4 linked regions of the Pelodiscus sinensis genome follow. The protein of the gene in region 2 interacts with the protein of the main gene of each other region in a pairwise test. Links are inferred from orthologs where the notes say so. Each region holds a gene or a part of one and is shown on either strand. Other genes may lie near its edges. The genes, in order: SSNA1, EHHADH, TRIM41 and ZBTB9.

Region 1 (7,943 bases), on a different chromosome or scaffold from region 2:
CGCATGGGGGGTGCAGGGTGCATGGGGGACAGCGCACGGGGGGCAGGTGCATGGGGGGCAGCGCACAGAGCAGGCGGGAGGCGCGGGGTGCATGGGGGCAGCGCACGGGGGGGTAGGGTGCATGGGGGGCAGCGCACGGGGGGCAGGTGCATGGGGGGCAGCGCACAGAGCAGGCGCGGGGTGCATGGGGGGCAGCGCACAGAGCAGATGGGGGGCAGGGTGCATGGGGGGCAGCGCACGGGGGGGTAGGGTGCATGGGGGCAGCGCACAGAGCAGACGGGGGGTAGGGTGCATGGGGGGCAGCGCACGGGGGGGCAGGGTGCATGGGGGGCAGCGTACAGAGCAGACGGGGGGGCAGGGTGCATGGGGGCGGCGCACGGGGGGGCAGGGTGCATGGGGGCAGCGCACAGAGCAGACGGGGGGCGCGGGGTGCATGGGGGCGGCGCACGGGGGGGCAGGGTGCATGGAGGGCAGCGCACAGAGCAGACGGGGGGTGCATGGGGGCGGCGCACGGGGGGGCAGGGTGCATGGGGGCAGCGCACAGAGCAGACGGGGGGCGCGGGGTGCATGGGGGCGGCGCACGGGGGGGCAGGGTGCATGGGGGCAGCCCACAGAGCAGACGGGGGGCGCGGGGTGCATGGGGGCGGCGCACGGGGGGGCAGGGTGCATGGAGGGCAGCGCACAGAGCAGACGGGGGGTGCATGGGGGCGGCGCACGGGGGGGCAGGGTGCATGGGGGCGGCGCACAGAGCAGACGGGGGGTGCATGGGGGCGGCGCACGGGGGGGCAGGGTGCATGGGGGCGGCGCACAGAGCAGACGGGGGGCGCGGGGTGCATGGGGGGCGGCGCACTGGGGGGGCAGGGTGCATGGGGGCAGCGCACAGAGCAGACGGGGGGCGCGGGGTGCATGGGGGCGGCGCACGGGGGGGCAGGGTGCATGGAGGGCAGCGCACAGAGCAGACGCGGGGTGCATGGGGGCGGCGCACGGGGGGGCAGGGTGCATGGGGCGGCGCACAGAGCAGACGGGGGGCGCGGGGTGCATGGGGGCGGCGCACAGAGCAGACGGGGGGCGCGGGGTGCATGGGGGGCGGCGCACGGGGGGGGCAGGGTGCAGGGGGGCGGCGCACGGGGGGGCAGGGTGCATGGGGGCAGCGCACAGAGCAGACGGGGGGCGCGGGGTGCATGGGGGCGGCGCACGGGGGGGCAGGGTGCATGGAGGGCAGCGCACAGAGCAGACGGGGGGTGCATGGGGGCGGCGCACGGGGGGGCAGGGTGCATGGGGGCGGCGCACAGAGCAGACGGGGGGCGCGGGGTGCATGGGGGCGGCGCACAGAGCAGACGGGGGGCGCGGGGTGCATGGGGGCGGCGCACAGAGCAGACGGGGGGCGCGGGGTGCATGGGGGCGGCGCACGGGGGGGCAGGGTGCATGGAGGGCAGCGCACAGAGCAGACGGGGGGTGCATGGGGGCGGCGCACGGGGGGGCAGGTTGCATGGGGGCGGCGCACAGAGCAGACGGGGGGTGCATGGGGGCGGCGCACAGAGCAGACGGGGGGTGCATGGGGGCGGCGCACGGGGGGGCAGGGTGCATGGGGGCGGCGCACAGAGCAGACGGGGGGTGCATGGGGGCGGCGCACTGGGGGGCAGGGTGCATGAGGGCAGCGCACGGGGGGGCAGGGTGCATGGGGGCAGCGCACAGAGCAGACGGGGGGTGCATGGGGGCGGCGCACGGGGGGGCAGGGTGCATGAGGGCAGCGCACGGGGGGGCAGGGTGCATGGGGGCAGCGCACAGAGCAGACGGGGGGTGCATGGGGGCGGCGCACGGGGGGGCAGGGTGCATGAGGGCGGCGCACAGAGCAGACGGGGGGTGCATGGGGGCGGCGCACGGGGGGGCAGGGTGCATGAGGGCAGCGCACGGGGGGGCAGGGTGCATGGGGGCAGCGCACAGAGCAGACGCGGGGTGCATGGGGGCGGCGCACGGGGGGGCAGGGTGCATGGGGCGGCGCACAGAGCAGACGGGGGGCGCGGGGTGCATGGGGGCGGCGCACAGAGCAGACGGGGGGCGCGGGGTGCATGGGGGGCGGCGCACGGGGGGGGCAGGGTGCAGGGGGGCGGCGCACGGGGGGGCAGGGTGCATGGGGGCAGCGCACAGAGCAGACGGGGGGCGCGGGGTGCATGGGGGCGGCGCACGGGGGGGCAGGGTGCATGGAGGGCAGCGCACAGAGCAGACGGGGGGTGCATGGGGGCGGCGCACGGGGGGGCAGGGTGCATGGGGGCGGCGCACAGAGCAGACGGGGGGCGCGGGGTGCATGGGGGCGGCGCACAGAGCAGACGGGGGGCGCGGGGTGCATGGGGGCGGCGCACAGAGCAGACGGGGGGCGCGGGGTGCATGGGGGCGGCGCACGGGGGGGCAGGGTGCATGGAGGGCAGCGCACAGAGCAGACGGGGGGTGCATGGGGGCGGCGCACGGGGGGGCAGGTTGCATGGGGGCGGCGCACAGAGCAGACGGGGGGTGCATGGGGGCGGCGCACGGGGGGGCAGGGTGCATGAGGGCAGCGCACGGGGGGGCAGGGTGCATGGGGGCAGCGCACAGAGCAGACGGGGGGTGCATGGGGGCGGCGCACGGGGGGGCAGGGTGCATGAGGGCAGCGCACGGGGGGGCAGGGTGCATGAGGGCGGCGCACGGGGGGGCAGGGTGCATGAGGGCGGCGCACAGAGCAGACGGGGGCGCGGGGTGCATGGGGGCGGCGCACAGAACAGACGGGGGGGGCCAGGGTGCATGGGGGGCGCAGCGCACAGAGGGCGGGGAGCAGCGCACGGGGCTGGGGGGGGGGGCTGGCCGCCGGCCCCCCCCGCACCCTCCCCCCCGCGGGTCCCCCCCCGCTCACACTTGACCAGCTCGTTGTTGTAGCTCTGCAGCGCCGCCCCCTGCTGAGTCATGGCGGCCCGAACCCGGCCCGGCGCGCGCCCCGCCCCGCCCCAACCGCCCCGCTCGCCCCGCCCCTCGCCCGGCTCCGCCCCCGCCCGCTCGCCCCGCCCCCGCCTCACGTGCCCCTGGCGCGCGGGCCGGATGGCGGCGGGGCCGGGCCCGGAGCTGTCGGCGGCCTGGCACGCGCTGAGCACCGGCCTGGTGCCGCCCGCCGCGCTGGGGCTGGTGAGTGAGAGCGGCCCCCCCGCAGGCCCCCCCTCGGACCCCCCATGTAGACCCCCCCGTCTCGCCCCCCGACGGCCCCCCCCAAAACGGCCCCCCCCATGCAGCCCCCCAAAACGGCCCCCCCCATGTATACCCGCCCAGACGGCTCCCCCATGTAGACCCCTGTCTCCCCCCCCGACGGACCCCCCATGCAGCCCCCCTCGGACCCCCCTGTCTCCCCCCCGATGACCTCCCCACACGGCCCCCCCATGTAGACCCCCGTCTCTCCCCCTGACGGACCCCCTATGCAGCCCCTCCTCCCACACGGCCCCCCCATGCAGCCCCCCCAAACGGCCCCCCCATGCAGCCCCTCCTCCCACACAGCCCCCCCCATGCAGGCCCCCTTAGCCCCCCCCCAGATGGAGCCTCCCTCCAGGCCTCCTAATCAGCCCCAGACAGCCCCCCACCCTGCAGACAGGCCTAGCCGTGCCCCCCACCCCGGATCCCAGCCATTTCCCCCAACCCCCCCGCCCCGTTTTTGTCCTGAGAACCCCTAAGTGCGTAGGACAGTTCAGTTCGGGTGGGCCCCGGAGAGGGTGTTGGTTGCAGATAAGGCAGCTCGATTTTCTAGTTTTGTTAGGGCATCACTTGGGCAGCAGATTTAAGGTGGTGCCTTTGCACCTCTTCTGAGTGCAGACTTAAGGCTGAACTTCCTGGGGGTCTCAATGTTGTTTCTATCCAATTGCTCTTGCAAGGTCGCAAACCAGAGGAATGGATGTCTGCCCGCACCTTTAAGTGCATTCTCACCCTGGTGTGTGGGAATTGCCTTAGCTTTTGTTCTTGCCAAGTCAAAGATGGTCGCAAGAGAGGAGCCTTGGGATCCCCGCAGGGATTCAGGGCCACCCCTATTCTTAGAATGTTCTAATTTGGAAGCTCATTCACTTAACATTTTCTAGGAAAATGCATATTGTTTCCAAATTGAATCTGCCTGTTCCGAGCCACTGTATTTTCGCTGGTTTAGAGGGAGCAAATTATGGAAACTTCTGTGCACTGAATGGCTGGCATTGTGGCTTTGAGCTCTTCAATAAATAGGCTGCTCACCTGACAGCTCCCATGGCCGCTGTCAGCAAGGGGAGCAGTTGATGCCAGTCACGGTGTGGGTGCTCATGATGTGAACACCTTCCTATCAGCAGGATTGAGACCCCACCCTCTCCACCAACAGCAGGTGGTTGGTAACCTACAGCCGCCTGAAACGTGACCCAAATACCAGTGGGGGACATGCTCCATCCATAGCCTGCTGGCTGTTCTTTGAGGTGGATTTGCAAAGCCCAGCCTCAGTGATTTGTAGGTGCCCAGGCTTGTGTTTAACTTGGTGTGTCTCTTTAGGCAGGCCCCAGATCAGGTTCAGCAGGGCTGCTGAAGGACAGTGACTTGCAGGCGGCCGTGGAAGTGCTGCAGCGCTATGACTTGCACTCTGTCCTGGAAGAATGGTTCACTGAAGTTTTACAGACAGACTTGCAGGCCAATATAGCTCCTGAATTCTGGAATTGTATTGGCCAGTATGAAAACACGGCGGAAGAGCCACAGTGCTCCTTGCTTCTCCTGGATGCCTTTTGTCTGCTCAAGTGCCGCCTCGACCCTTATCTGAACAGCTTGGACCTTCTGGAAAAATGGACCAGAATGGGCTTGCTCCTTGGAACAGGCTCCCAGGTGCTGCGAGAGAAAGTCTACACCATGTTCAAAGCCATCCTTTTCTTCACCACCACCGAGACGTTCCAGGAGATGATCCAGCAGTTCTACAGCCGCACCTTCAAGATTTACATGCGCCAGGGGAAGAAGGGTGAAGGCGGAGTGAAGGCGTGCGAGAGCAGCATGAGTGAGAACGAGCCAGAGAGCGATCCGGAGGACGGAGGAGACGGCCGGCAGTGCCTGGGCTGCAGCAGTAAGAGAGAGCAGTGCTGGTGTCCCACAGCCATGGAGCAGTTCCAGCAGCTCAGTGAAATCCTGTGCGTATCTTACAGCAAGGTGGCGAGTTGTAGGGGCCTGCGCTCCCCCCCTCCCCCTCGCGTTTGCTGGCTCAGGTCTCCCTGAGTTCCGCCACCCTATGCTTGCCCCCCAGCCCCGCCTGCTGTCCCTGGGTGATTTTAAATGCCTTGGGGGGGCCCCCACTGCAAGCAGCGCACAGAGACCCACTCTTCTCCCCCCACCCTCCCAGGCCCCTCGGAGGTGCTGGCAGCCACGCAGAGTGAGCGGCAGGAAGCCTCTCTAGCCCCGCTGCACTGCTGATGGGGGCTTCCAGGGTGTGTTAATTCACCTAGGGGCAGCAGGAGGAACCAAAGGATGCGCAGGGCGGAAGGCATGTGAGTGGCAGGTGGGGCGGGAAGAGCAGTGGGAGCAGCACCGTGCACTAGGAGCTGCTGCCAGAGGGTGGTGCCTCCCAGGTAAACATGGCACCCTTTACCCTGGTGCTGCCCCCAAGCTCCAAACTGCCTCCCAGAGCCTGCCTCCTCCTGCGGCTTCCTCCCCCACCCCAGGCCAGAGCCTGCATCCGGGCCTCATCCACATTCCCTCCCAGAGCATGCACCCTGAACCCCTCCCGCATCCAAACTCCCTCCAAGAGCCTGCACCCCTCCTACCCACCGATCCTCTGCCCAGACTCTTGCTAACAAGACCAAGATGGCTGCACACAAACTCCCTTACTCCCTTTTCCTGCCTCCACACTACTGATTGTAATGAGAGATTATGGTATGCTGATGGTATGAAATTTGCATATAAATTCCAGTTCAGCAGTTTCACCTTGCAACCTGGTTTGGAAGGTTTTTTTACGTTGGAAGTTTGATATTTGATATGACTTGGGCTATATCACGCGATCCTGTAGTCTGTTGTTTAGAATCCGAGAGTGTTCTATTGTCGCATTTGCTTTCCATTCGTGTCAGATGTTAACATTTGGCTGCAGTTGCCCTGTTTTCTGTTTTTTTTCCTCTCCTAGTGGATAAAATCCCTTTCCGAATAACCACCCTGCTTACTGAGCAAACCCCATCCCCATAAGTCTGTGGCACTGTTGTCCAGCTAGAGATTTAGACAGCTCACCGGGGTATTGGCTCACCGAAGTACCGGGTTGACATCTGGCAGAGTTGTAACGATGTTTGTCTGGGCTACTGGCTCTGTGGAGAAGGAAGCCAGTACCTAATGTGACCCCTGCTAGCCCATGTGCGGTACAGGCCCCGTCTCCGGTTACTTCACACTTAGTTTCATGCTTCCCTTTCTGTGTGCTCTAAATGAGGCCGGTGTTTGTCTGCAGCCACAGGCTGAACTTGCTGGAGAGAGTGAGCGCCGATGCTGTCACCACCATCCTGCACAGGATGCTAGAGGAGAGGATGGAGCGCAGATGCAGGGGCGAGTATGAGCGCTCTTTCCTGACTGAGTTCCAGGAGGTAAGGCCTACAGCAGGCTCGGAGGGGGGACACAGCACTTCCCTGTGGAAGGGATGATATCAAAATGAAACTCCTGTTTGGAAAAGTCCCAACCTGGCCCGCTAGGCGCCCCTCCTCCCCCATTTCACTGTTTCCCTTGTGTTAATTACAGCATTAATACAGGGAAGTCCTATGGCCTGTGTTATGCTGGAGGTCACAGTAGATAATTGCCCTTGGTCTTTTGACTCGATGAATCTATGTACTGAGCCCAATAATTGGTGTATGGCTGAAGGATTTCTAGAAAAGCAGCCAGTCTTGATCTGAAGACCTCAAGAGATGAAGACTTCACCACTTGCCTTGGTTGGTTGTGCCAATGGTAAATCACCTTATTAAAAAAATTTAGCTTAGCATCTGATTTGAATTTGTCTGTGTGACGTAGTGGGGGTACCTGGCTGGTTTCTATGCTGCTGGCTCTGGGGTAACCCCCACTGGCTGTCGTGGGGACCACGACCCAGCAAAACAGGATGAGTCACTATGCAAACCAGTGGCCAGACACCCCCCATGGAGAGGAACAAAGGAAGGTGGAATGCTGCCTTGGCTGGGGGGCAGGGCTGGAAGTTAGTGAGTTGGTTGCTGGCTGTCGGAGGGCATGGAGGAGAGCCTAGGGGAAGGGGCTGGAGTTTAGGGGCCCAGTCTCCCCCATCTCAAGGGGGCCTGAGGCATCCTAGCCCAGTTCCTGTAACCAGATTACATCTGTGCTGCGCTGTGCTGGAGGAGCAATAAACCACCCTCAATTCCACTGGCTGGTGCAGTCTGTTTGTGCCATTTCGGGGTGCAGGAGACGGGGAACCCCCAACGCGCCGTCACAGTCTGGCTGGAGCTTCCCACCACTGGTTCTTGTTCTGCCTTTTTCTGCTTTAGAGAGACCGTTCATAGCTGCCATTTTCTCCCCCAAACGGTACAACGTCACCTGGCATCTTTGGTAAATTCAACAGATTGTGCTCTCAAGTCTCCCACCACCAGGCGTGTTCTCCAGCCCTGCAATCATTGTTGTGGTTCTTCTCCATCCTCTCCAGCTGTTCAGCAGCTCTTTAAAAATGTGGGCCCCAGAACTGGATGTGCTCTTCTAATATTGGCCTCGCCAGTGCTGTGCGGGAGGTAGAATCGTTGCCCTGCTCGCACCTCCTGTGCTTCCACATCTCAGGGTCACACTAACTCTCTTTGCCCCAGGATTGTGCTGGGAGTTCATGTTCAGTTGCTTGTCTACTGTGCCTCCCTCAATCCTTATCAGTCACTGCTCTCCCCCCCCCCCCCTTCATTCTTGGTTCCTCCCCCCTCTCCCCCCCCGGTCTGCATTCTTGGTTCCTCCCCCCTCTCCCCCCCCCCCCCCCGGTCTGCATT
Region 2 (7,463 bases):
ATGAAGAAAGGCTTCTTTGTCGGGGCATCGCGTCCAGACTCTCCCGATCTGCCGACAAACAGCTGATCGGCAGATCGGGGCAGCCATTTAAATTTAAATGAAGCCGCGATTATTTTAATCGCGGCTTCATTTCCCTCTTCCGATCTGGCTAATCTACATGCCTCCGTCGAAGGAGGCATGTAGTCTAGACACACCCATTGTTACATATCAGGTGAATGGGATGTCTCTCCTTGCTCTTTGCAAATGTGGTGGGGAGGAGTGGGTTGCATCTGTGATGGGTTAGATCACAGAAGTCCCCTTGAATTTGTCACCACATGTGCTGATCACACCACTGAGCCCCGCCTACCTGCTCTGTGGGGTGCCCTACCAACCTGTGCTACTGGGCCAGAAGCTCTGGTTTCCCCCAGCCAAGGCACAGAGTTGGGCTAACAGCCCCCCAGCAGAGTAACACAGATGCTGATAACAGCTCTGGGAGAGCTCAGCTATAGCGACTTGATGGCATCCAAGAGTACAGCCCTCTAAAGAGACCAAACCCCCAAATAAATCAGTTTTACTCTTTATAAAAGTTTGACACAGAGAAAGCTCAGAGTTGCTCTCTTTATCAAGGAAAGAGAGATGCAGTAGTTGCTCCTTCCACATAACAATTATCTATGCTGGGCCTGATAATAAATACAAATGTTTCATTAAGTATAAAAGGTAGGATTTAAGTGATTGCATGTGAAAACAGATCAAAGCAGATTACTAATCTCAAATAAACAAGACATGCCAGCTAAGCCTAATACACGAGGGCTGTGTCTATATTGGTGTGATCTTGTGCAAAAGCAACTGCAAAACTTGCTGCCTGTCTACACTGGCTGTGAGTTCTTGTGCAAGTACACTGATGTTCTAATGTATTAAATCAGTGCTTCTTGCACAAGAACTCTGATGCTCCCATTCAGGAATAAGCCCTCTTGCGCAACTGTTCTTGCGCAAGAGGCCAGTGTAGACAGGCAACATGAATTTCTTGTGCAAGAAAGCTCTATGGTTAAAATGGCCATCAGAGCTTTCTTGCGCAAGAGAGCATCTACACTGGCATGGATGCTCTTGCGCAAAAGCACATCTCTTGCGCAAATGCACATGCCAGTGTAGATGCTCTCTTCTGGAAGAGTTTTTGCACAAGAATTCTTCTGCAAAAGAGTTCTTGCGCAAGATCATGCCAGTGTAGACGTAGCCTAAAAAATACTGTTACAGATCATATTTCTCACCCTACTCTTTATTTCAGGAAAAATCCTTACAATCAAAGCTGATCTTTTCTCTGGCCTGAGTCTAACAGCTTCTTGTGTATCCTCTTAGGGTGGGGAGGGAGTTTCAAAAGCTAGCTGAAGACCATCATTGATTATTTCCCATCCCTTAAATAGAATTTCCCCAGGGTGAGAAACCTTTGTTCAATTCTCCCCCCTACCCCCCACACGCACACTGTGGAAAATACCAAATTCAAGATGGATTCCAGTATCAAGTGGCATGGTCACATATCTTTGTAAGACCAACCACAATTGGGGATTACAGGAAAAACAAAACCATTCACAGATGAGTACCAAGCCCAAGTTCCTTAAGTACCACTAAAGGCTTTCCCTAGAAGACCTAGATTAATAAAACAGGTTTCCACTTAATATTTCTAACTTCACATTCAAGAATGATTCCTGCCTACAAAGAGAATATACACACTCAGGGGATCACATGCATTTGAATGATATATTACTTGCCATGTTTTGCACAAAGCATATTTGAGTTCTGCATATTCATATTCAAAAACACATTTCCATAAAATATAGGAGTGGAGCATCATAGCATCTCATTGTGTTGTGTCTCTTTGTTATACATACGTGTGTGTCCGCATTTCGCTGCTGTGAGGCTTGGTGGGGAGGACCCCTGCCTCATGCACAGCACAGTGTGGTGTTATTCTATGCTGGTGGTTTCTGTATTTCTTTGCAGGGTGAAATAACCCTCGTGCTCCAAACACTTTCCAAGCAGGCTCTCAGTTGCAGCGTCCCTTTGAATGGCAGCTCTCATGACACACCACATTTGTCTGCCTTGGCCACCTCTCAGGGCTCTGTGCCAGGTGGATGGGGTGTCGCTCAATACGGGGTGGATGTAGCCTCTGTCTCTGCAACTGGAGATGGGGGTGGGGGACCAAGGAGGATGGAACTGGGACTGCTTAGCAAGGCAGCTGGGAGTGCAGAGCAGGCTGGGCCGGGCCAGAGGGGTTACCCTAGGCAGGGAGACGGGGGTGGGGCAGGCTGAGCAGAAAGGGCTGTGCCCACTGGAGTCTGGAATTGGAGGTGCTGTGAGTGGCACCAGTTCCAGATGTACCAGTAGCAATGTGAGTGTGTGTGGCAGGGTTGTACCAATTGCGCTGTGAGGGGGCGATTGTACCAGTGGCGATGTGAGGGGAGGGTGGCCAGGTGTGCGGTTTTGAACCAGACAGTCCAGTATCTGAGCTTTCTGTTTGGGAAACAGATTGAGAAAATAGAAATCGCCCCTATTTTCTAGATAAGATGTCATGTAGATTGTGACCTAATGTCAAGTGTGCCCCTATTTTAGTTGAAAACATCTGGCAACCCTAGGGGAGAGATTGCACCAGTGGCGATGTGAGGGGGGGGGATTGTACCAGTGGCGATGTGAGGGGGGGATTGTACCAGGCGCGCTGTGAGCTGGGGGGGATTATACCAGTGGGATGTGGGGGGGATAGATTGTACCAGGTGCGCTGTGAGCTGGGGAGAGATTGTACCAGTGGCGATGTGAGGGGGGGGATTGTACCAGGCGCTCTGTGAACTGGGGGGGATTATACCAGTGGGATGTGGGGGGGGATAGATTGTACCAGGTGCACTGTGAGCTGGGGAGATTGTACCAGTGGTGATGTGAAGGGAGGATGGGGATGGGATTGTACCAGTGGCGATGTGAGGGGGGGATCGTACCAGGTGCGCTGTGAGCCGGGGGGTGGGTTGTACCAGTGGCGATGTGAAGAGGGGATGGGGATGGGATTGTACCAGTGGCGATGTGAAAAGGGGGATGGGGATGGGATTGTACCAGTGGCGATGTGAAGGGGGGGATGGGGATGGGATTGTACCAGTGGCGATGTGAAGAGGGGGATGGGGATGGGATTGTACCAGTGGCGATGTGAAGGGGGGATGGGGTAGGATTGTACCAGTGGCGATGTGAGCTGGGGGATGGGGTGGGATTGTACCAGTGGCGATGTGAAGGGGGGGGATGGGGATGGGATTGTACCAGTGGTGATGTGAAGAGGGGTATGGGGATGGGATTGTACCAGTGGCGATGTGAAGGGGGATGCGGTGGGATTGTACCAGTGGCGATGTGAGCTGGGGGATGGGGTGGGATTGTACCAGTGGCGATGTGAAGGGGGGGGATGGGGATGGGATTGTACCAGTGGTGATGTGAAGAGGGGGATGGGGATGGGATTGTACCAGTGGCGATGTGAAGGGGGGATGGGGTAGGATTGTACCAGTGGCGATGTGAGCTGGGGGATGGGGATGGGATTGTACCAGTGGCGATGTGAAGGGGGATGGGGTGGGATTGTACCAGTGGCGATGTGAAGGGGGATGCGGTGGGATTGTACCAGTGGCGATGTGAGCTGGGGGATGGGGTGGGATTGTACCAGTGGCGATGTGAAGGGGGGGGATGGGGATGGGATTGTACCAGTGGTGATGTGAAGAGGGGGATGGGGATGGGATTGTACCAGTGGCGATGTGAAGGGGGGATGGGGTAGGATTGTACCAGTGGCGATGTGAGCTGGGGGATGGGGATGGGATTGTACCAGTGGCGATGTGAAGGGGGATGGGGTGGGATTGTACCAGTGGCGATGTGAAGGGGGGGATGGGGTGGGATTGTACCAGTGGCGATGTGAAGGGGGGGATGGGGATGGGATTGTACCAGTGGCGATGTGAAGGGGGGGATGGGGTGGGATTGTACCAGTGGCGATGTGAAGGGGGGGATGGGGATGGGATTGTACCAGTGGCGATGTGAAGGGGGGGATGGGGTGGGATTGTACCAGTGGCGATGTGAGGGGGGGATCGTACCAGGTGCGCTGTGAGCTGGGGTGGGATTGTACCAGTGGCGGTGGGAGCGGGGGGTAGGAAGGCTGGTTGTACCAGTGGCGGAGAGCGGGGGGGGGGGGTAGGAAGGCTGGTTGTACCAATGGCGGAGAGCGGGGGGGGGTTGGAAGGCTGGTTGTACCAGTGGCGGTGGGAGCGGGGGGTAGGAAGGCTGGTTGTACCAGTGGCGGAGAGCGGGGGGGGGGGGTAGGAAGGCTGGTTGTACCAGTGGCGGAGAGCGGGGGGGGGGGTAGGAAGGCTGGTTGTACCAATGGCGGAGAGCGGGGGGGGGGGCTGTACACTGTGGCCGGGCGTGGCGTGCGGCGGGTCTGTGTGGGGTCTGTCCCGGAACGCGGGGGGCGGGGTCACCACGGGCTGGGCGGGGCTTTGCCCGGCCGCTCGGGGAAGGCCCCGCCCCGGGCAGAGTCCGGCGCTGGCTCGCGGCGGGGATGGCGGCGCGGTGCACGCGCGGCGCCGCGGCCGTGGCGCTGATCCGCCTGAGCCACCCGCCGCTCAACACGCTGAGGTACCGCCGCGCCCCTCCCCCCGCGCGGGGACCTGTTCTTGGGGCTGTTCCGGGCCCGGCGCCCCGCGTGTCCGCGGGCGGGGCAGGCTGGGGCCCCGCTCCCCTCAGGGGCAGTTGCGCGGGTGTCCCTGGGGCGGAGCCTGCCTGCAGCACAGAGTCATTCCCACGGCTCCTTTCTCCCTCAGCATAGGGGCGCTTGTCTGTGCAACTCGGGCTCTTTGCGACAAAGGGGCTTTGCTCTTCCTCTTCGCTAAGCTTTAGGAGAGTTGGTCAGAAGATAGGAATGTCTGCAAAATACCTTACAGTTCTGGGGGGGGGGGGATTGTCCCTACTAGGATGAGAGATCAGAAACACACATTATTTTGCTGGAAACACATTCAAGGAAGATTTTATTTTGGGGGGACCACAATGGAATTTCCCTGCTGCCTGCTTCACAGCTCTTTTCACTTTTACTTCATTGAAAAGAGCGTTTCTGGCTGGCTGCCCGAGAGGCAGAGAGCTGTCATGCTCAGTCTCTGGCCCTCCTCCAACCCTGGAGCACAGGCTCTGAGCACCTTTGCTCTCTGCCTGTTCAACTCCAAGCTCCCAGGCTTTACTCCCCGTCTCCCTGCAGACCAGGGAGACGGGGAGCAGCTTTTCTTGCCCCGGAGGACGGGGGCGGCGGACCGTGGCGCATCTGGGCGTCCCGCGGCTCCTGTCCTCCGGGGCGAGAAAAGCCCCATACGTAACTGCGGATCCGACATAAGTCGGATCCGCGTAACTCGGGGACTGCCCATATTGATAAAATGGAGAGAGTGCAGAAAAGAGCTACAGAAAGGATTTGAGCACTGAGAAAATGCCTTACAGCAAGACAGAAAGAGCTTAATCTGTTTGGTTCCTCAGAAAGAAGATTAAGTGGTGACTTGATAACTGTGTACAGGTACTGTTTTAGGGAGAAAATACCAGGTAGTAAAGGGCTCTTTAATCCTGCAGAGAAAGGCAGAACAAGAAGCAGTGGCTAGAAGTTGAAACCTGACACATTCAAATGGGAGATAAGGCACACTTTTTAAATAGTGAGGATGAGATGATTAATCACTAGAACAAACTACTCTGGGAAGTGGTGGATTCTTTACCACTTGACACCTTCAAATCAAGACTGGAAGGTACGCAATAGCAAAGCACAAGTCATTGGCCTTGGCTGGGTAATAGCATGAAATATGATATATGATCTATTCTAGACAAAATTATTCTTATTTGTATTACCTTAGTGTTTAAGAACTTACGTCATCTTTGTGGTCTTCAGTTATGCATGTCTGAATTCACCCATGCACCTCATTAGGTACACAGTCATCCAAGGCATTGGTTCCAGCCCGTGAAACTCAAATAAATTAGCAAAAACATCAAGGAGACCTGTGGCACCTTAAAGACTGACAGACTTATTTGAGCATAAACTTTCATGGTAAAAACCACTTTGTCAGATGCATCTGATGAAGTGGTTTTTACCCACAAATGCTTATGCCTGAATAAATCTGTCGGTCTTTAAGGTGACACAGCACTCCTCATTGTTTTTGCTCACCTTCGATTTTTCCTTTTTCGTGGATGTTAAGTAATATGCAGAAGGAAAACCTTTCTGCTATGAGCCTCCGAAAGTCTGAGGAGCGCCCATCTTGTGAACTCTAGGCTATGTCTACACTAGCGCGATCTTGCGCCAGAGATATGCAAAGGAGGCTAAGTGTGGAATATCGCTGCACCTCATTTGCATATCTAATGAGCCATCATTTTTGCAGAAGAGGCTCTTGCGCCAGAAGGAGCGTCTACACTGCCCCTTCTTGCGCAAGAAAAACCCTCTCGAGCAATGCCACTACGCTGATTATTTTCAGGAATAACGGCATTGTGCAAGAGGGTCTTTCTTGCGCAAGAAGGGGCAGTGTAGACGCTCCTTCTGGTGCAAGAGCCTCTTCCACAAAAATGGCGGCTCATTAGATATGCAAATGAGGCTCGGTGATATTCCACGCTTAGCCTCATTTGCATATCTCTGGCGCAAAATCGTGCCAGTGTAGACATAGCCTAAGGGTATGTCTACACAGCTGGGCTAAAGTTGAAATAAGCTGTGCAGCTTGAGCTACATCAATTGCATAGCTTAAGTCAAAATAGCTTATTTTGGTTTTTGGTGCTGTCTATGCAGCAGGAAGTCTGAGAAAGAGCACTCTTCCTCCGATTTCCCTTACTCCTCTTAAAACAAGGGTTACAGGAATCAGAGTAAGAAGTCCTCAAGCTTGACATTATTTTGACGTTCTGTCGAAATAAGTGCTTGTAACGTAGATGCAAACTATGTTATTTCAGAATAATGTTGGTTATTCTGAAATAACACTGCTGTGTAGATGTACCCCAAGTGTTTGAAAGAGAAACACTTTGTGGCACTTTAAAAAAAACAAAACAAAAAAAACCCCAAGAGGCAATTGAAGGAAGTTCACACACACAAAGCTTACCTAACTTTGTTGGAATTGCTGTTTATAAAATACAGGACAGGACCATTGTGATTAAGAAAACCCTCTGCATAAAAGGAATAGGAATAGAAAGCTAAGGTCATCTTTATAAGTATTCTCTCACCTTACGGGGCATACATTTAAAGACACAAATATAAATCGCCATTAAAATAGTTAACCAGTTAAATGATTACAATTATGCAGGGTAACTGATTAACCTTTGGAGGGCTAGTGCCCTCCAGGCAGGGGCCAGCCTGCTGGCCAGCTCACCAGAAGCATGGAGCTCTTTGAGCCCCATTGGCCCACCACCGGCTGGGGGCTGGTCAGGCTGGCTCCATTGCACCTTGGCTGGGGGTGGGGTATTGGGAGAGGGACAGTTACTAG
Region 3 (7,642 bases), on a different chromosome or scaffold from region 2:
CGCTTTGAGATCCCTCCCTGCCTGGCGTCAGGCGCCGGCCACGCACACAGGAAAAGCTGGCGAGAGAAATAAAATACACGCGCTCGCCGCTCCCAGTCGCCTCTAGTTACAGGACTATTCGGCCTGGCTCCTGCCAACCTTCGAGGGGGAAATTTTACCCCGCCCTCCGGGCCCTGATTTTCAGGGCCACGCTGATCGGAATTTGTGATTCGAGCTACGAGGGGAGTTCTCCTTGGAGGCACCAGCCACGGACCGGGGTGCTGCCGTGCTGGGCGCTGGACACACAGCCCCCCAGAGAGCCCAGCACGGATCCAGAATTTCGATCCCTCCGTGGAGGTGCCCCGGAATGAGCACGGAGAAGGCCGGCTCACCCTCGTGACGCCGGGCAACAGAGCCGTAAGCCGGCGGCGTCCCTCTAAAGCCTTCTGCGATGCTCGGGGCCTGGCGTCTTCCTGCCTGTCTCAGGTTTGCTGCCGGCTGTCCCCGGGTCTAATGCCTGGATGTGCGCTCAGGGGACCCTCTGTGCCCAGCAGCGCTGGCTCTGGACACGCTGTGATGTCCACTCTGGCTGGGCATTCACGGATTGCTGGGTCGGGCTGTGGGTGACCCCTACCGCCCCGTGCTGCTCTGCAGAGACTGTGTGTGTGTCCGTGTGCACCGCCCAGCGGGGGGTGGTCCCTGAGGGCAGGCACGAAGGCCATGGCCTAGCTCAGTGGTCCCCAACCTTTGGGGGCTGCTGCGCGCCAGGGGGCGGGGCTGGCCCAGATAGTTCAGCGGGCGCACATAAATGCCTCGGTGGGCCTAGCCATTGCTCACCCGGCACGGGGAAGGAGTTTGATCAAAGGAAGGGGTGTGGCTACTTGGGGGGAGTGGGTGAGCAGTGGCGGAGAGAGGGGCTGTCTCGAACAGACTGAGTCGAGTCCGGGGGGGTTCAGGGGCCTGTGTACCCCTGCCCCCCAAGAGGTCGAAGGCTGCCTGCCCTGACTCTTAGGTCCGCATCGAGTCTGCGCTGTGCTGTATCTCGGAAGAGCAGCAAAACCTTCTACTCCACTCCCATAGCTCCACCATCTGTCCCAGCCGACCCTCCACGTTGTCACCCGCCAGCCAACGAACCCCCCTTGGCCTCCCGGAGCCAACGCGGTACCTCCAGCCACGCGCTGGCCTTACCGGACCCACTGGGGCCCCGGCGCCTCCCCCGGGCACGCCAACGGCTCCCAGACACCCCACCAGGGACGTTAAAAAGCGTGTAACTCGTCAGTCGTGAAGTCGACAAAAGGTTTGTCACCTCCGCCACAAGTCCTCAGTCCCAGCATGCGCGGGGTCCCAGGAGAGCGGTAGCTCCCGGGACCCAGCGCAAGGCAGCCTGCCAACGTACGTCCTGGCGGAAGGGATGCGCGTTAGGCAGGTTACATATCGGTTCACTGAATAGTCGAGCAGCCTCATGAATTCTTCTCAGTTACTTAACCATTCGATAGTCCCCGTGGGCAGGGCCGGCAGACGCCCGAGGAGCCCCCCACACTCCGCGCTGCTGCCGCTGTATCAGAGGCAGCAGCGGGGGTGCCAGGCGGGAGCTGGTCTCAGACCCAGCTGCTCTCGTGGACCGACTGCCTGTCTGAGCCGCAGAGGGGGCAGGTCCCAGACCTGTCCCAAGCCAGGACTGAGCCGGGCTGCTGGCCAGCCTGCTAAAAGTGTACCGGCCGGGGGAAAGAGGGAGGAACGCACGTCGTCTGCAGCATTAACCGATACGCTTCGGTTACGGGTTAATCGACTACGCCATTACATCATAACGCGTGTAGCCGATAGCACGGACGTGTTCGCATCCGCTTCTCGGTTAACCGGCTGCACTTCTACAGCCGCGCCCGGCCCAGCGGACTCCGGCGACCCTTCCCCACCGGCGTACCTTGTAATCCTGCACCACCTCCTCCAGCGGCACCACGCTGTGGTGCTTGTGGCTCCGGGACTCCCGGCACACCACGCAGATGGCCTGCTCGTCCACCTCGCAGAAGAGCTTGAGGGGCTCTTGGTGTTTCTCGCACAGGGCTCGTCTCTCCAGCGCCCCCGGCGCCGCGGCCCCCTCGGGCCTCGCTGAGGTCCCCACAGCAGCCGGGGACGCGAGCCGCTGCGGGAGCGGGTGCATCTGTCGGATGATGTGCACCATGTTGGCCAGCTGGAGGTTGGGCCGGAAGTTCCTCTGGGAGAAGGTCTTGCGGCACTGGGGGCAGGTGAAGGGGGGGAGCGGTCGAGGCCGGGGCGCCACGGCGGCCGGGGGCGTGGGCGTCAGCAGCTCCTCCTCCTCCTCCTCCTCCTCCAGGTCCTCCTCCTCCTCCATCACCTCCTCGGCGTAGTCGTCCTCCTCGAAGTACAGCTCGTCGCCCGCCTCGTCCTCCCACATGTCGTCCTCCCCCGGGTCGTCCCAGAAGTCGGCTTCCTCGTCCTCCTCGCTCCACATGTCATCCTCGTCCTCGGCCCCTTCCTCCTCCTCCTCCTCCTCCTCATCGTTGTAATCGGCCTGGTCGTCCAGCTCGTCCTCCGCGCCGCCCAGCCCCGCCGCCTCGGCCGCGTAGCCGGCCCGGCCCTCGCCCGCCTCCTCGCCCCCCCAGAGCTGGGTGATGCAGACGCGGCAGAAGTTGTGGCCGCAGCCGATGGAGACGGGGTCGGTGAAGTAGTCCAGGCAGATGGCGCAGACGGCCTCCTCCTGCAGCGTCTCCACCGCGCTGGGCTGCCCGCACGGCATCCCCCCGGGGCCGCCTTCCCCGGCCACCGCCGCCATGGGCCCCCCCCGCCCTCAGCTTCCCCCTGAGAGCCTCAGCCCCCCACTTCACCCGGGGGTCCTCAGCCCCCCTGCTTCCTCCTGGGGGTCCCCCGACCCTCCTGCTTCCTCCTGGGGGTCCTCAGCCCCCCTGCTTCCTCCTGGGGGTCCCCCGACCTTCCTGCTTCCTCCTGGGGGTCCTCAGCCCCCCTGCTTTCTCCTGGGGGTCCCTCGACCCTCCTGCTTCCCCCTGGGGGTCCCCCAACCCTCCTACTTCCTCCTGGGGGTCCTCAGCCCCCCTGCTTTCTCCTGGGGGTCCCCCGACCTTCCTGCTTCCTCCTGGGGGTCCTCAGCCCCCCTGCTTCCTCCTGGGGGTCCCCCGACCTTCCTGCTTCCTCCTGGGGGTCCTCAGCCCCCCTGCTTCCTTCTGGGGGTCCTCAGCCCCCCTGCTTTCTCCTGGGGGTCCTCAGCCCCCCTGCTTTCTCCTGGGGGTCCCTCGACCCTCCTGCTTCCCCCTGGGGGTCCCCCGACCCTCCTACTTCCTCCTGGGGGTCCTCAGCCCCCCTGCTTCCTCCTGGGGGTCCCCCGACCTTCCTGCTTCCTCCTGGGGGTCCTCAGCCCCCCTGCTTCCTCCTGGGGGTCCCCCGACCTTCCTGCTTCCTCCTGGGGGTCCTCAGCCCCCCTGCTTCCTTCTGGGGGTCCTCAGCCCCCCTGCTTTCTCCTGGGGGTCCTCAGCCCCCCTACTTCCTCCTGGGGGTCCTCAGCCCCCCTGCTTCCTCCTGGGGGTCCCCCGACCTTCCTGCTTCCTCCTGGGGGTCCTCAGCCCCCCTGCTTCCTCCTGGGGGTCCTCAGCCCCCCTGCTTTCTCCTGGGGGTCCTCAGCCCCCCTACTTCCTCCTGGGGGTCCTCAGCCCCCCTGCTTCCTCCTGGGGGTCCCCCGACCCCTCAGCCCCTCCCCCACTAGGGGCCCTGCCCGGCTGCCCGAGGACGCTCTACCCGCGCGCTCTATGGTGGCTGTCAAGGCAAGCGGGGGAAGGGGGGGATAAGAAGAGGCAGCGGGAGCCTTATTTCCGTTTCCGCCGGAAGTGGCGGCGGGACCTTTTTACCGCTCCGCCACGGGCGCGCGGCGGGGCATGTGACCGGAAGTGGCTCCCCCCCCCCCCGGCGCGCGTTCCGCCGCTCTCCGGCAGGGAGGGGGGGGGGAAGGATGAGGACAGCGCGTCATGTGACCGGAACTGCCGGCCCCACGCTCCATTCTTTCCCCCCCGCCCGTTGGGAGGTTCTGCGCGCGGCGCTCCGGCTCGGATCCGCCCCGCCTCCCCGTGTGACGTCACACGCCCGGCCTCCCTCTCGCCCCTGGAGTTCCAGGGGGCGGGGCCTACTTCTGGAGGGGGCGGGACCGCTCCTAAGCTCCGCCCCCAGTGGGGTGGGAGGTGCTGAGGAGGGGGGGACGCGCTCTGGCTCCGCCTCCTTCTCGCCCCTAAGTTCCAAGGGGGCGGGGCCGATGACGCTGAAGGGGGCGGGGCCGCCTCTAAGCCCCGCCCCCGGTGGGGTAGAAGACGCTGGGGGGGGGGCGCTCTGGCTCTGGCCTCTTTCTCACCCATAAATTCCAAAGGGGCGGGGCCTACGTTTGTGGGGGCGGGGCCGCCCTAAGCCCCGCCCCCAGTGGGGTGGGAGGTGCTGAGGGGGGGCACGTTGCGGAGGGAGGGTGTGTGGGGGGGGAGTGGCCACCCAGGAGAGAGCTGGAGCCCCCCCCAGCCAGCAGTGCCTCGGGGGTGGTGCACATTGGCATGCGCCTTGGTGCACTGCACAAAATTTATTCCACACCGAAAGAAAAAAAATTGCGGAAGGGAGGGGGCCCTGCTGAAGAGGCATTTGTGGAGCCTGCCTGGAGCCGGGGGTGGCGAGCCGGGAGGAGACCCCCTGGGGGAAGCAGCGGTGGGTAGGTAAGAGTGCTCCCGTTAGGGGTGCACAGAGATCTTCCGGGGACCGGCCCCGAGTTTGACCACCGGCTGCTCGGCGCGGTGCCCGGGAAGCCTGTCCCCACGACACGCCTAGCGCCCCGCCCCGCCTAGTGTCCCCGGACGCGCCCGTCCCACCCGCCCGGAGCCGTGGATTTCCCGGAGCAGCGTGCGACCGCGAGGGAACAGCCGGCCCACGGCACGGTAAGAGCGCACGGCGGCGCTTTTGTGGCTCGCCGCGGGAGCGAGGCGTTTTTAAGTGCGGCGGGGCCCACCCCAATTTCTAGCACGAGGCTCTCCAGTCCTCTGCTCGCGAGGCCCCTCGGTTCCTGTAGTCGAAGGCCTGGTGCAGGCAGGGCTGTCCCGGGAGGGCCGCCCCGCAAGGCCTAACTTGGAGGTGTCCGGAAAAAACTCCCCGAAACAACTCTGAGGTCCAGCCATGCTGAATGAACCATGTGGGATCCTTGGAGGCACTGGAGGCTGAGATCCATAAAAAGCCAGGGCACGAGGGGCCGTGTTTAACCCCTTTTCACGGGGGCGGACGTATTCCTTCCATCCCAGGTGGTTCCCTCACTGCTGGGAGCCCTCGCCAGCCGGCCTTCCCTGGACGCTGAGCCCTCGGCCCAGGTACGTTTGCGGGAAAAACATTGGGTGAGCAAAAAACCCCCCCCCCCAAAAAAGGCCACGAGGACCAAAGTTGTTGAGAAATAAAAACAGCCTAACAACAACCTCACAAAAGAGTTACGGCGCCTTTATATCATCTTGCTTTCCCCATGCCCACCAGAGGCGGAGGGGAAGACTGTCCCAAGCGGCCTTCCGTCCCCGAAAAACAGAAAATACCCGACATTTTACATGTCCGGTATTTTCTGTTTGTTTTACTGGACAGAAGTTGCAAATACTGGACTGTCGGGGGCCAAAACCGGACACATGGCCACCCTGGAGAGCTCCAAATGCCGCCCAACGGATGAGCAGAGCGCCCGCGGTCTGCTGGTGGTGCACATCGCCACCGGCCTCGGTGCACCGCACAAAATTTATTCCACGCGCCAATGGGGGGAAAACGGAAGGGCCCATTTTGAAGCAGTTTCGACAACCTCTCTGGGAGGCAGCCGGCGGAGAGGGGGAGGAAAGAGGGGGGCTGATTTTAACCGGCCACTCTTAGCCCAGGCGCTGGTGGTATCCCCCTGGGGAGACAGAGGTGAGGAACAAGGGGTTTCCTACAGATCCCAGGCCAGACTTTTCCCCCGGGGATGGAAGTTGCTGGATAGGAAGCAAGTCTGGGGTCAGTACAATATAGGGCTGGACATTTGGCAAAGCCCAGACTGGAAAAGGAGACAGGCCTATTTTAGGTGAAATTGCATCAACAGCCCGGCTAGCTCAGTCGGTAGAGCATGAGACTCTTAATCTCAGGGTCGTGGGTTCGAGCCCCACGTTGGGCGGCTGAAAATTTTTACCCCAAGTTTTTTATTTTAAACTCTTTTTTCCTCCCTGGCTGTAAAGTTGTGTCTGTTTCCAGGGTCTGGCTGGTCTTGTAAAGGCAGCTAAGTCAAGGGGGGGCTCATGTTCCCCCCCCCCCCCCACTCCAAAGCCAAGTTCTGAGCTGGTCTGTCTGCCTGTCTGCTAAACCCAGACCAGCTGCATTTCCTCAGCAACTCAGGGAACTGGGCTGATTTTTAAAGGGGATTGGTCTGGAGACAGGCCAAGAACTGATGGAGCATTTGAATCACAAGCCAAAAGTCCAGCAGCGAAAGTGAGTCCATGTGGTTTTCCTACCCAGCACCATGGGGGCAAAAAAGGGAGGAATGTTGTTGGTGTTAATTCTTTTTTTTCCTGTGCTTTTCTCAGACATGCCAGGATGTACATTTCAAACACCAGGACCTAGCAAAAGTTTAGCAGTTTATTATTCTTAATTGGATTTACAATCATTTGTTTCCAGCATGATATTGATTAATAGTAATTGCAATTGTAACATGACAGTCAGTATTAATGAACAACAATAATCATTCATAATACATATGCTTGACACAATGGCTCTCACAACTTGGCTAGATTTGCTCCAGGGCTGACTTCAGCCTAACATTGGATACAAGACAAACTTCAAAAACACCAAAAGGTCTGGTAGCACTTTATAGACTAACGTAACATGGAGATGGGATCATGAGCTATCCTGGGCACAGCCCTCTTCTTCAGATGACCAGAGCTTTGAGTTTAGGGTGTGCAGACCCAAAATAAATAGGGGAGAAGCGAGAGGGGGGAAGGAGGAAAAAAAAGGGGGGGGGGAGGAACAAGGAGCAGAAGGTATGAAAATATCTATGTGTCTAGAGTACAGGGATTTTTCGAAAAAAGTGGCCTTTTTTCGAAAAATCTTTACCTGCGTCTAGGCTGCTGCTGCGTTCTTTCGAAAGTCAATCGAAAGAACCCGGCGGTGTTTTCGACCGCAGAAAATCTCATTCTATGAGGAAGAACGCCTTTTTTGAAAGTGCTCTTTCGAAAAAAAGGCTCTAGAGGTAATGCAAACCGGGCTTTTTCGAAAGAGAGCATGCAGACAGCCCGGGTGCTCTCTTTCGAAAAAGCGGCTTGCTTTTTCGATAGTACCAACGGTCGTCTAAAAAAAAAACCCCCACAAATGGTCTGGTAGCACTTTATAGAATAGACTAACAAAACATGTGGATGGTTCGTCTATGAAATGCTACCAGATCACTGATTGTAGTCTAGACGCTTTTTTTCGAAAGAGGCTTTTTTGAAAGTATCCTTCAAAAAAGCCTCTTTAGAAAAAGGCTTCCAGTTTAGACGTAGCCAAAGGGAAAACCAAATAAGCAGAACTAGTAATCTATAAGCACCTAAAGACCAGAGAGTTAAAAGAAGCAGATAAGGATAAAAGAATATACAAGGTTCAGAGAAAAAAGACCCTTTGGTTTATAGGGAGGTGCATTGCA
Region 4 (7,614 bases), on a different chromosome or scaffold from region 2:
ATGGCCCTTAAGTTGTTTATTCTGTTCATTCCCTCTGAAGTATCTGGCACTGGCCAATCAGAAACATGTTCTGACCCACCCAGGCTGCTCCAATAGCAGATGCCTATAGGGAGGTGCCTATAGTTATAAACAATGGCCTGGCTTGCCCTGTTTGACTCAACATCACACACACACACACACACACACACACACACACACCCCCACCCCCAGCTCATGATGCCTTGTGGGAAGGGGCATGAACTACAGCAGGGAACTGATAGGAAAAAAGAGGTCAAATAAAACAAAGGCACTAAGAGATACCCCCATGACAGGGCCAAGAAAGGCAGAGGCTGCTGAAGCCAGAAAGCAGGCTAAGGAGACTGCAGAGAGGCTGGCAAGCCCACCCCCACATGAGTCTTGGTGTGAACTACTCAGGGACTTTGGCTCTACAGAACATGGCACACTGCTCCCTGCTTTGTGCTCCAGCCAGCACAGAGACCCATTCACTCCAGCTCAAAGCACCCTCCCACCAGTCACTGCCCAAAAGGATGAGCCAGGTCCCAACCCAAGCTGGCCAGATGCTGGGGCTCACTGCAGAATCTTGGGCCCCAGGCCTGGGACCTGCAGCCCAGCACAGTGGAATGGCTCAGCTGCTCCAGCATAAAGGGGAGCTCACGCTGGGCCTTGTTTGAGGGAGAGTAGGGAGGTAGTGGGAGCCACAAAGACAAAAGCCTCCCTTCCAGACCTAGTTCCATCCCATTCAGCTGAGCTGGCCACATCATCTCCTTGAAGCTTTCCCCTATCCTGCCCATGCCCCCACCACAGTACTGGATTCAGCGGTGAGCTCTGGTTTGTGCCTCTCAATCATTTTGAGAGCACTGTTGAAAAGCCAGCCTGACTTTGACAAGGCCAGTCACTGTCCTGCCAGGGAGGGATGCAGGAGGCTGCAGAGGATGAGTCCAAGGCTGGGGGCGGGGGGAGGCACAGATCTCTTTTATTGAGTCTCCTGTGGCAGGGGGTTGGAATACCCCAGGTTGGGCACATGGCCTCAAAGTGTCAGAGACCAGGTTCCAGAGGAGTGCTCCCAGAAAAGGGCAGGTCGCCCCCCACCACCCGCCGCTGGAGCAGGCATGAGGGACTCAGCCTTGGCTGGGACATTGCCCAGAAGTCAGACTCCCAGGAGGGCAGCTCGGGACTGTGGTTTTCACAGGCCCAACCTGCCACTGCTGCCATCAGGGTCTGCGATTAAGCAATCTGCTGCACCAGCGCTCCTCTCTCACCTGCCCTATTGTCGCTGGCCCAAAGTGCCCACAGCAGGGCAGATTTAATCCCTTTCCTTGAGGTTCCCATCAGCCCCATGCTCCTGCCTCCTGCCCCAAGTTCCTCCACCTTACACCAGGGCAAGGTCTGTAACAAATGCCACACCATGGAGCAGCACAAGAGCCCAAATCCCTTGGCCTGCCCAGCTGCCCTTCATACTTTGGTGTCCACCGGGCCATGGAGCAGGGTTCTGAGCTGCTCAGGGGCTCAAACCAGCCTCAAGAAGGGTGGTAGGAGTCCTCCCTGCAGCCCCCATCCAAGGTTTATTTGTAGGTCCAGCAAGCAGTGGCCCAGCCCTGGCCTTTGCACAATTCCTTGTGTTTGAGGAAGCAGTTCTGCACACGGAACTTGCGCCCACAGTCCTCGCAGGAGTACAGGTTCCCATCATGGGTCTTCATGTGCTCTGTCAGATGGTGCTTCAGCTTGAACTTCTTGTTGCAGACAGAGCAGCCGAAGGGGCGCAGGCTGAAGGTCAGCATGATGTGCCGGTCTCGCTTGGGCTTGACAGCAAAGCGCTTGCCGCACAGACAACCAAACTTCTTCCCATCAGGGGCTGCCACAATTTTGACAGGTGCGTGCACCACCTGGCCATGTACCGCGTGGGCAATGATCTCGTTGCCATGTAGGTCCACTGGCTTCCAGGAGCTCTGGGGGAAGCTGGCCTCATCTGAGGAGAGGGGCTGGGCCTTAATGGTGAAGCCAGGGGTGGGGATGGAGGAGGCGGCACCTGTGGTTGCAGCAGGGATTATGTAGCTGACTTCACTGCTTGGCTGGAAGTCTGCTTGGCACAGACCCCGCACCTCAGCCATGGCCAATGCCCGCTCCTGTGCCAATGACTTGAGAAAGCTGGCCTCCCCGGCTGCACTCAGGCCTCCTCCCAGCGCAGCCCCTGCAGCCTCATCTGGGTCAAAGCGCTCCTGTTTGATGTAGAAGATCTTGGGGTGATCGCGGGGGGCATGAAAGGGGCCGTCCAGCTCCCCAGAAGATGGCCCTTTGGAGCCGCCTCTGCCACCAACCTCTCCATCTTCCTCCAGGACAATCTTCACTGCCTTGTCCACAGAGCCACTAAAAATCCGGGCCTGGTGCTCGTGCTCCTCCTCCTCCTCCTCCTCCTCCTCTTCCTCCTCCTGGGACACCCGGATCTTCATCACCTCATTGTCAGGGCAGCCGGGTGCTGCCCGGCCTGACGATACCCCGCCATGGCCAGGCCCCTCTGAGCTTCCACCCACCGGCTCTCCATCATCCTTCACAGCAAAATAATTGCTGCTACTGGGGGACTGGTTCTCACTTGCCCTGCTGGACCAGGGCCGGCAGGGGCCCCCCTCCAGCTCCTTCAGGATCTCCGAGCACTGGTCCACCACCTGCCACATCTGCAGTCCACTAGCCACCAGCAGGTGGCTGGGCAGCGCTTCCATCAGGAGCTTGAGGCGGCCGGAGTAGATGAGCTGCAGTAAGTTCTCGAAGGCGTCAGGCTCGATGACGCTGGGCAGCACGATGCAGTTGGTGTCATTGAGGAGTAGCTTGTCATGGAAGTAGGGCGAGGAGGCGGCCAGGACACTCTTGTGAGCCTGGAAGACCCGGCCCTGCACGTGGATGGAAATGTCGCAGAACTTGCCCTCCAAGCGGTGCTTGTTGAGAGATTCCAGCAGCACAGCCGCGTAATGGGGGAACTCGATCTGGATGCTGCGGGTCTCGGGCTCCATGGCACCGCCTGCCCAGGGCGGGCACCTGCAATGGCAGAGACAGGGAGTAAAGGGAACCCCCCCTGCGATGCTGCTGCCCCTGGGAGAGAGGGAAATGTTCACTACCCCTTGTGGTAAGAGAACTCCCATTCCCACAACAGCGAGGCAGGTGCAGGGCCAGCCCCACTGGAGGGGAGACTGGTGTAGAAGTTGTGTTCCCAGGACTACAGCCCTCCCACCCCCGCCAGGGATCCCAGGGATTTGGACAGAGGGAGAATGAGGGACTTCACAGCCCAGGCTCCTGGAAGTAGGAACCTGTACCCCCCAGCATACAGCAGCTACCCCATGGCAGCACCTCTTGGAAACTGCTCCCACCTCTGCCCCCACCCAGCCCAGCCCCAGTGCCCCCTTCCCGGCCCTGCCCTACAGCGCCCCGCCCATCCCCAGTACCCCCTGCCCTGTCCCCCAGTGCCCCGCCCATCCCCAGTGCCCCCTGCCCCCCCAGTGCCCCGCCCATCCCCAGCGCCCCCACCCATCCCCAGTGCCCCCTGCCCTGTCCCCCAGTGCCCCGCCCATCCCCAGCAACTCGCCCATCCCCGCAGTGCCCCCTGCCCTGCCCCGCAGCGCCCCGCCCATCCCCAGCAATCCGCCCTGTCCTGCCCCACAGCACCCCGCCCATCCCCAGCGCCCCCTGCCCTGCCCCACAGCGCCCCCGCCCATCCACAGCACCCCGCCCCACAGCACCCCGCCCATCCACAGCACCCCCTACCCCACAGCGCCCCCGCCCTGCCCCACAGCACCCCGCCCATCCCCAGTGCCCCCTACCCTGTCCCCCAGTGCCCCGCCCATCCCCAGTGCCCCCTACCCTGTCCCCCAGTGCCCCGCCCATCCCCAGTGCCCCCTGCCCTGTCCCCCAGTGCCCCGCCCATCCCCAGCACCCCCTGCCCTGCCCCACAGCGCCCCCGCCCATCCCCAGTGCCCCCTGCCCTGCCCCACAGCGCCCCGCCCATCCACAGCGCCCCCTGCCCTGCCCCCCAGTGCCCCGCCCATCCCCAGCAACCCGCCCTGTCCTGCCCCACAGCGCCCCGCCCATCCCCCGCGCGCGGGCCGGATCCAGGGCTCACCTGCGGGCCGCGCGCAGCAGGGCGAGTCCCAGCGGCCCGGGCTCAGCGAGCTCGAGCCCCGGGAAACCCCGCCCCCTCCGCCCGGGCCGACCGAAATGGAGCCCAGGAAACCCCGCCCTCTGCCCCTGGTCCCCCGGGCAACCAGGGAAGGACACGCCACCGGGGGGCCATCAACCAACCAAAAGCGACCGCTGCCCCCGCCCTGCAGCACGTAGCCAATCGCTGGCGGGACCGTGGCCACGCGCCGCCCCGAGCCTGTCCCACAGGCGGGCCAACCAGCGCTCAGCCCCCGGGACACGCCCACGCCGGCTAGCACAACCCCCTGGGAGCCGGGGCGCCTGATCTCCAGTCAGCCAATCCGAGGACAGCGCCCCGCAGCCCGCGTCCGATTGGTGGACAGATCTGTCTTCCCGCCCCCTTCCGTTTCGCATTCCAATTGGCCACGGGAGCGTCCTGTGCTTGACTGGCAGGGCTGGGCGACGTTGCGACCCAACCCCGCCCCCCCGCGTCCCCGCCACTTGCCGGGCGCCCCACGCGGGACCCCCACGCAGGAGCCTCCCCGCCCCCACGGGCCGTGCCCTGGGCCCCACGCGGAACCCCCACGCAGGAGCCTCCCCGCCCCCACGGGCCGTGCCCTGGGCCCCACGCGGAACCCCCACGCAGGAGCCTCCCCGCCCCCACGGGCCGTGCCCTGGGCCCCACGCGGGACCCCCACGCAGGAGCCTCCCCGCCCCGACGGGCCGTGCCCTGGGCCCCACGCGGGACCCCCACGCAGGAGCCTCCCCGCCCCCACGGGCCGTGCCCTGGGCCCCACGCGGAACCCCCACGCAGGAGCCTCCCCGCCCGCACGGGCCGTGCCCTGGGCCCCACGCGGGACCCCCACGCAGGAGCCTCCCCGCCCCGACGGGCCGTGCCCTGGGCCCCACGCGGGACCCCCACGCAGGAGCCTCCCCGCCCCGACGGGCCGTGCCCTGGGCCCCACGCGGAACCCTCCCACACGCTGCCCTGCGCCCCACAGAAGCCTCCAGGGCCCCACACGGGACCCCCACACACAGTGCCCTGTGGCCCCACGCAGGAGCCTTCCCGCCCCGACGGGCCGTGCCCTGGGCCCCACGCGGGACCCTCCCACACGCTGCCCTGCGCCCCACAGAAGCCTCCAGGGCCCCACACGGGACCCCCACACACGGTGCCCTGTGGCCCCACGCAGGAGCCTCCCCGCCCCGACGGGCCGTGCCCTGGGCCCCACGCGGGACCCCCACGCAGGAGCCTCCCCGCCCCCACGGGCCGTGCCCTGGGCCCCACGCGGGACCCCCACGCAGGAGCCTCCCCGCCCCGACGGGCCGTGCCCTGGGCCCCACGCGGGACCCCCACGCAGGAGCCTCCCCGCCCCCACGGGCCGTGCCCTGGGCCCCACGCGGGACCCCCACGCAGGAGCCTCCCCGCCCCCACGGGCCGTGCCCTGGGCCCCACGCGGGACCCCCACGCAGGAGCCTCCCCGCCCCCACGGGCCGTGCCCTGGGCCCCACGCGGGACCCCCACGCAGGAGCCTCCCCGCCCCCACGGGCCGTGCCCTGGGCCCCACGCGGAACCCTCCCACACGCTGCCCTGCGCCCCACAGAAGCCTCCAGGGCCCCACACAGGACCCCCACACATGGTGCCCTGTGGCCCCACATGGGACCTCCACACACGATGTCTTGTGGCCCCTCGCAGGAGCCTCCAGGGCCCCACATGGGACCCCCACACACGGTGCCCTGTGGCCCCATGCAGGAGCCTTCCCGCCCCCACGGGCTGTGCCCTGGGCCCCACGTGGGACCCCCACACACACTACCCTGCGCCCCACACAGGAGCCTCCTGGGCCCCACGCAGAACCCCCACACACGGTGCCCTGTGGCCCCACGCAGGAGCCTCCCTGGCCCCCACGGGCCATGCCCTGGGGCTTCAGGCCAAGGTGGCATAAAAGAACAATCGCTGTTTATTAAACGTTTCTCCGTTGGCACCACACACTCCAGAAAAATGAGAAAAAATAAAATCGACATAAAATAAAACGGAGAGCGAGACGCCCAGGTGGTCCGACACAGCGTCAGGGCGGGCGCTCGTGACCTGAACTCCCTTCCCAAGGGGATATGTACAGAGAATGAGGTCCAGAGAGGTCTATATACAGTACAAATCCAGTGGTAATTACAGCGCCCAGCCTGGGGGCGATGTGGCCAGGGGAGGTAGGGAAGGGTAGAGGAAATTTCACATATGTACAAACTTTTATATAATAATAATAATTAATACGTATAAATATCATGGCGCCACCCGAGTCGCCGCTGTCTGGGGGTGGGGGAGGACAGGGAGAGTCCTTACAAAAGAAATACGGACTGAGGTGCAGGAGGGGGCAAGGGAGGGCTGGTTAATGGCGAGTCTGAAATAGAGACACAAACAGCAAAGAAACACCCAGTACAATCACTGCGCTGACCACATTCACCCAGCAGCTCAGACCATAGCACAACGGTGAATAGCCACAAGAGTCCCCTCCAGTTCTCCGTGCTCAGGTGGGGGGGGTCGCTCCCCCGCCCCGGTGCCCTGCACGCGCTGGCGGGTGGGCAGAGAAATGGCTTCTTCATTATTTTGTTGGTTGTTTCCCCCCCAACAACCCCAGCCTGGGGGGACAGGGGGTCTGAGAACAGGGAGAAGGAAAGAAAGAAAGAAAGAAAGAAAAGGCCCCTCCCTCATTGCCCTCCCCAGAAAAAAACCAATCAATGTCTAGATAATCATCATTTCCAAAGACAGAGGGGGGGTGCAGGACACGGGGATGGGGCTGAGCAGGCAAAGCCCTTTATGAGAGTATAGAGAGCGCAGAGAGCAGTGGGAGAGGAAGGTGGGATCCCACCACTGGGACCAGCTGAGAGATGGGGAGAGATCCCCAATGCTGACACCAGGCAGGACTGGCAGAGGCCATGGCAAACCTTAGGCCTGAGCCTAGCCAGGAAGGACAGAAGGGGTGGTCTTTCCCTCGGCCAGGGCAGGGCTGTGGGGAGCGAGGATGGTATGTGATGGGTGGGGCAGGGCTAGTACTTGCTATTCCACAAGTCTTCGACCCTGACCCAAATCCCATGCTGGAGGGAAGAGAGAAATACTGGAACAAAGAGCTATGAGCCCTCGCCCCCTGAGAATCCCTCCTGCCAGGCACAGAGCCCCCCCCTACAGCAAAATGGGGAGAGCTTTGCCTCCAGCTGCCACCAGTCTCTGCTGCCCCTTGAGTTTCCAACCCTCCAGGCTTGTCCTGGAGTCTCCGGGTATTAAAGATTATGTCATGTGACGAAACCTCCAGGAATGCGGCCAACCAACCAAAATGAGCCCTTCAGCTGCCCCCGTGGGCAGGCTGGAGGGGTTTCCCTGCCCCCCAGGCAAGGAGGGACAATGCAATAAAATGGCTGCCAGGGCGAGACCACTCCTGAGAAATAGGGAGGGGGAAGAGGTATTGTCCCCATTTCCTTCAAGGGGAGGCGGAGGTCCATGGCACA

What was found.
Region 1: the proteins of EHHADH (region 2) and SSNA1 interact in binary tests that used the Homo sapiens proteins (3 or more experiments, as listed by UniProt). The two-hybrid records come from large-scale screens. The link is inferred for Pelodiscus sinensis from reciprocal best matches to the Homo sapiens genes EHHADH and SSNA1.
Region 3: the proteins of EHHADH (region 2) and TRIM41 interact in binary tests that used the Homo sapiens proteins (3 or more experiments, as listed by UniProt). The two-hybrid records come from large-scale screens. The link is inferred for Pelodiscus sinensis from reciprocal best matches to the Homo sapiens genes EHHADH and TRIM41.
Region 4: the proteins of EHHADH (region 2) and ZBTB9 interact in binary tests that used the Homo sapiens proteins (3 or more experiments, as listed by UniProt). The two-hybrid records come from large-scale screens. The link is inferred for Pelodiscus sinensis from reciprocal best matches to the Homo sapiens genes EHHADH and ZBTB9.

The regions. Positions count from the first base shown.
Region 1 is NC_134732.1:2,394,989-2,402,931, reverse strand, and holds the start of SSNA1 (microtubule nucleation factor SSNA1), read right to left. Parts: upstream 3,008-7,943; 5' UTR 2,937-3,007; coding exon 2,885-2,936; intron 1-2,884. Other genes in the region: ANAPC2 (anaphase-promoting complex subunit 2), read left to right, coding at 3,067-3,150, 4,516-5,135, 6,431-6,563. UniProt on the Homo sapiens protein: Microtubule-binding protein which stabilizes dynamic microtubules by slowing growth and shrinkage at both plus and minus ends and serves as a sensor of microtubule damage, protecting microtubules from the microtubule-severing enzyme SPAST.
Region 2 is NC_134720.1:3,723,137-3,730,599, forward strand, and holds the start of EHHADH (peroxisomal bifunctional enzyme), read left to right. Parts: upstream 1-4,456; 5' UTR 4,457-4,537; coding exon 4,538-4,614; intron 4,615-7,463. UniProt on the Homo sapiens protein: Peroxisomal trifunctional enzyme possessing 2-enoyl-CoA hydratase, 3-hydroxyacyl-CoA dehydrogenase, and delta 3, delta 2-enoyl-CoA isomerase activities. Catalyzes two of the four reactions of the long chain fatty acids peroxisomal beta-oxidation pathway.
Region 3 is NC_134742.1:1,231,580-1,239,221, forward strand, and holds the start of TRIM41 (E3 ubiquitin-protein ligase TRIM41), read right to left. Parts: upstream 3,002-7,642; 5' UTR 2,771-3,001; coding exon 1,901-2,770; intron 1-1,900.
Region 4 is NW_027465855.1:143,114-150,727, reverse strand, and holds the start of ZBTB9 (zinc finger and BTB domain-containing protein 9), read right to left. Parts: upstream 3,003-7,614; coding exon 1,563-3,002; 3' UTR 1-1,562. UniProt on the Homo sapiens protein: May be involved in transcriptional regulation.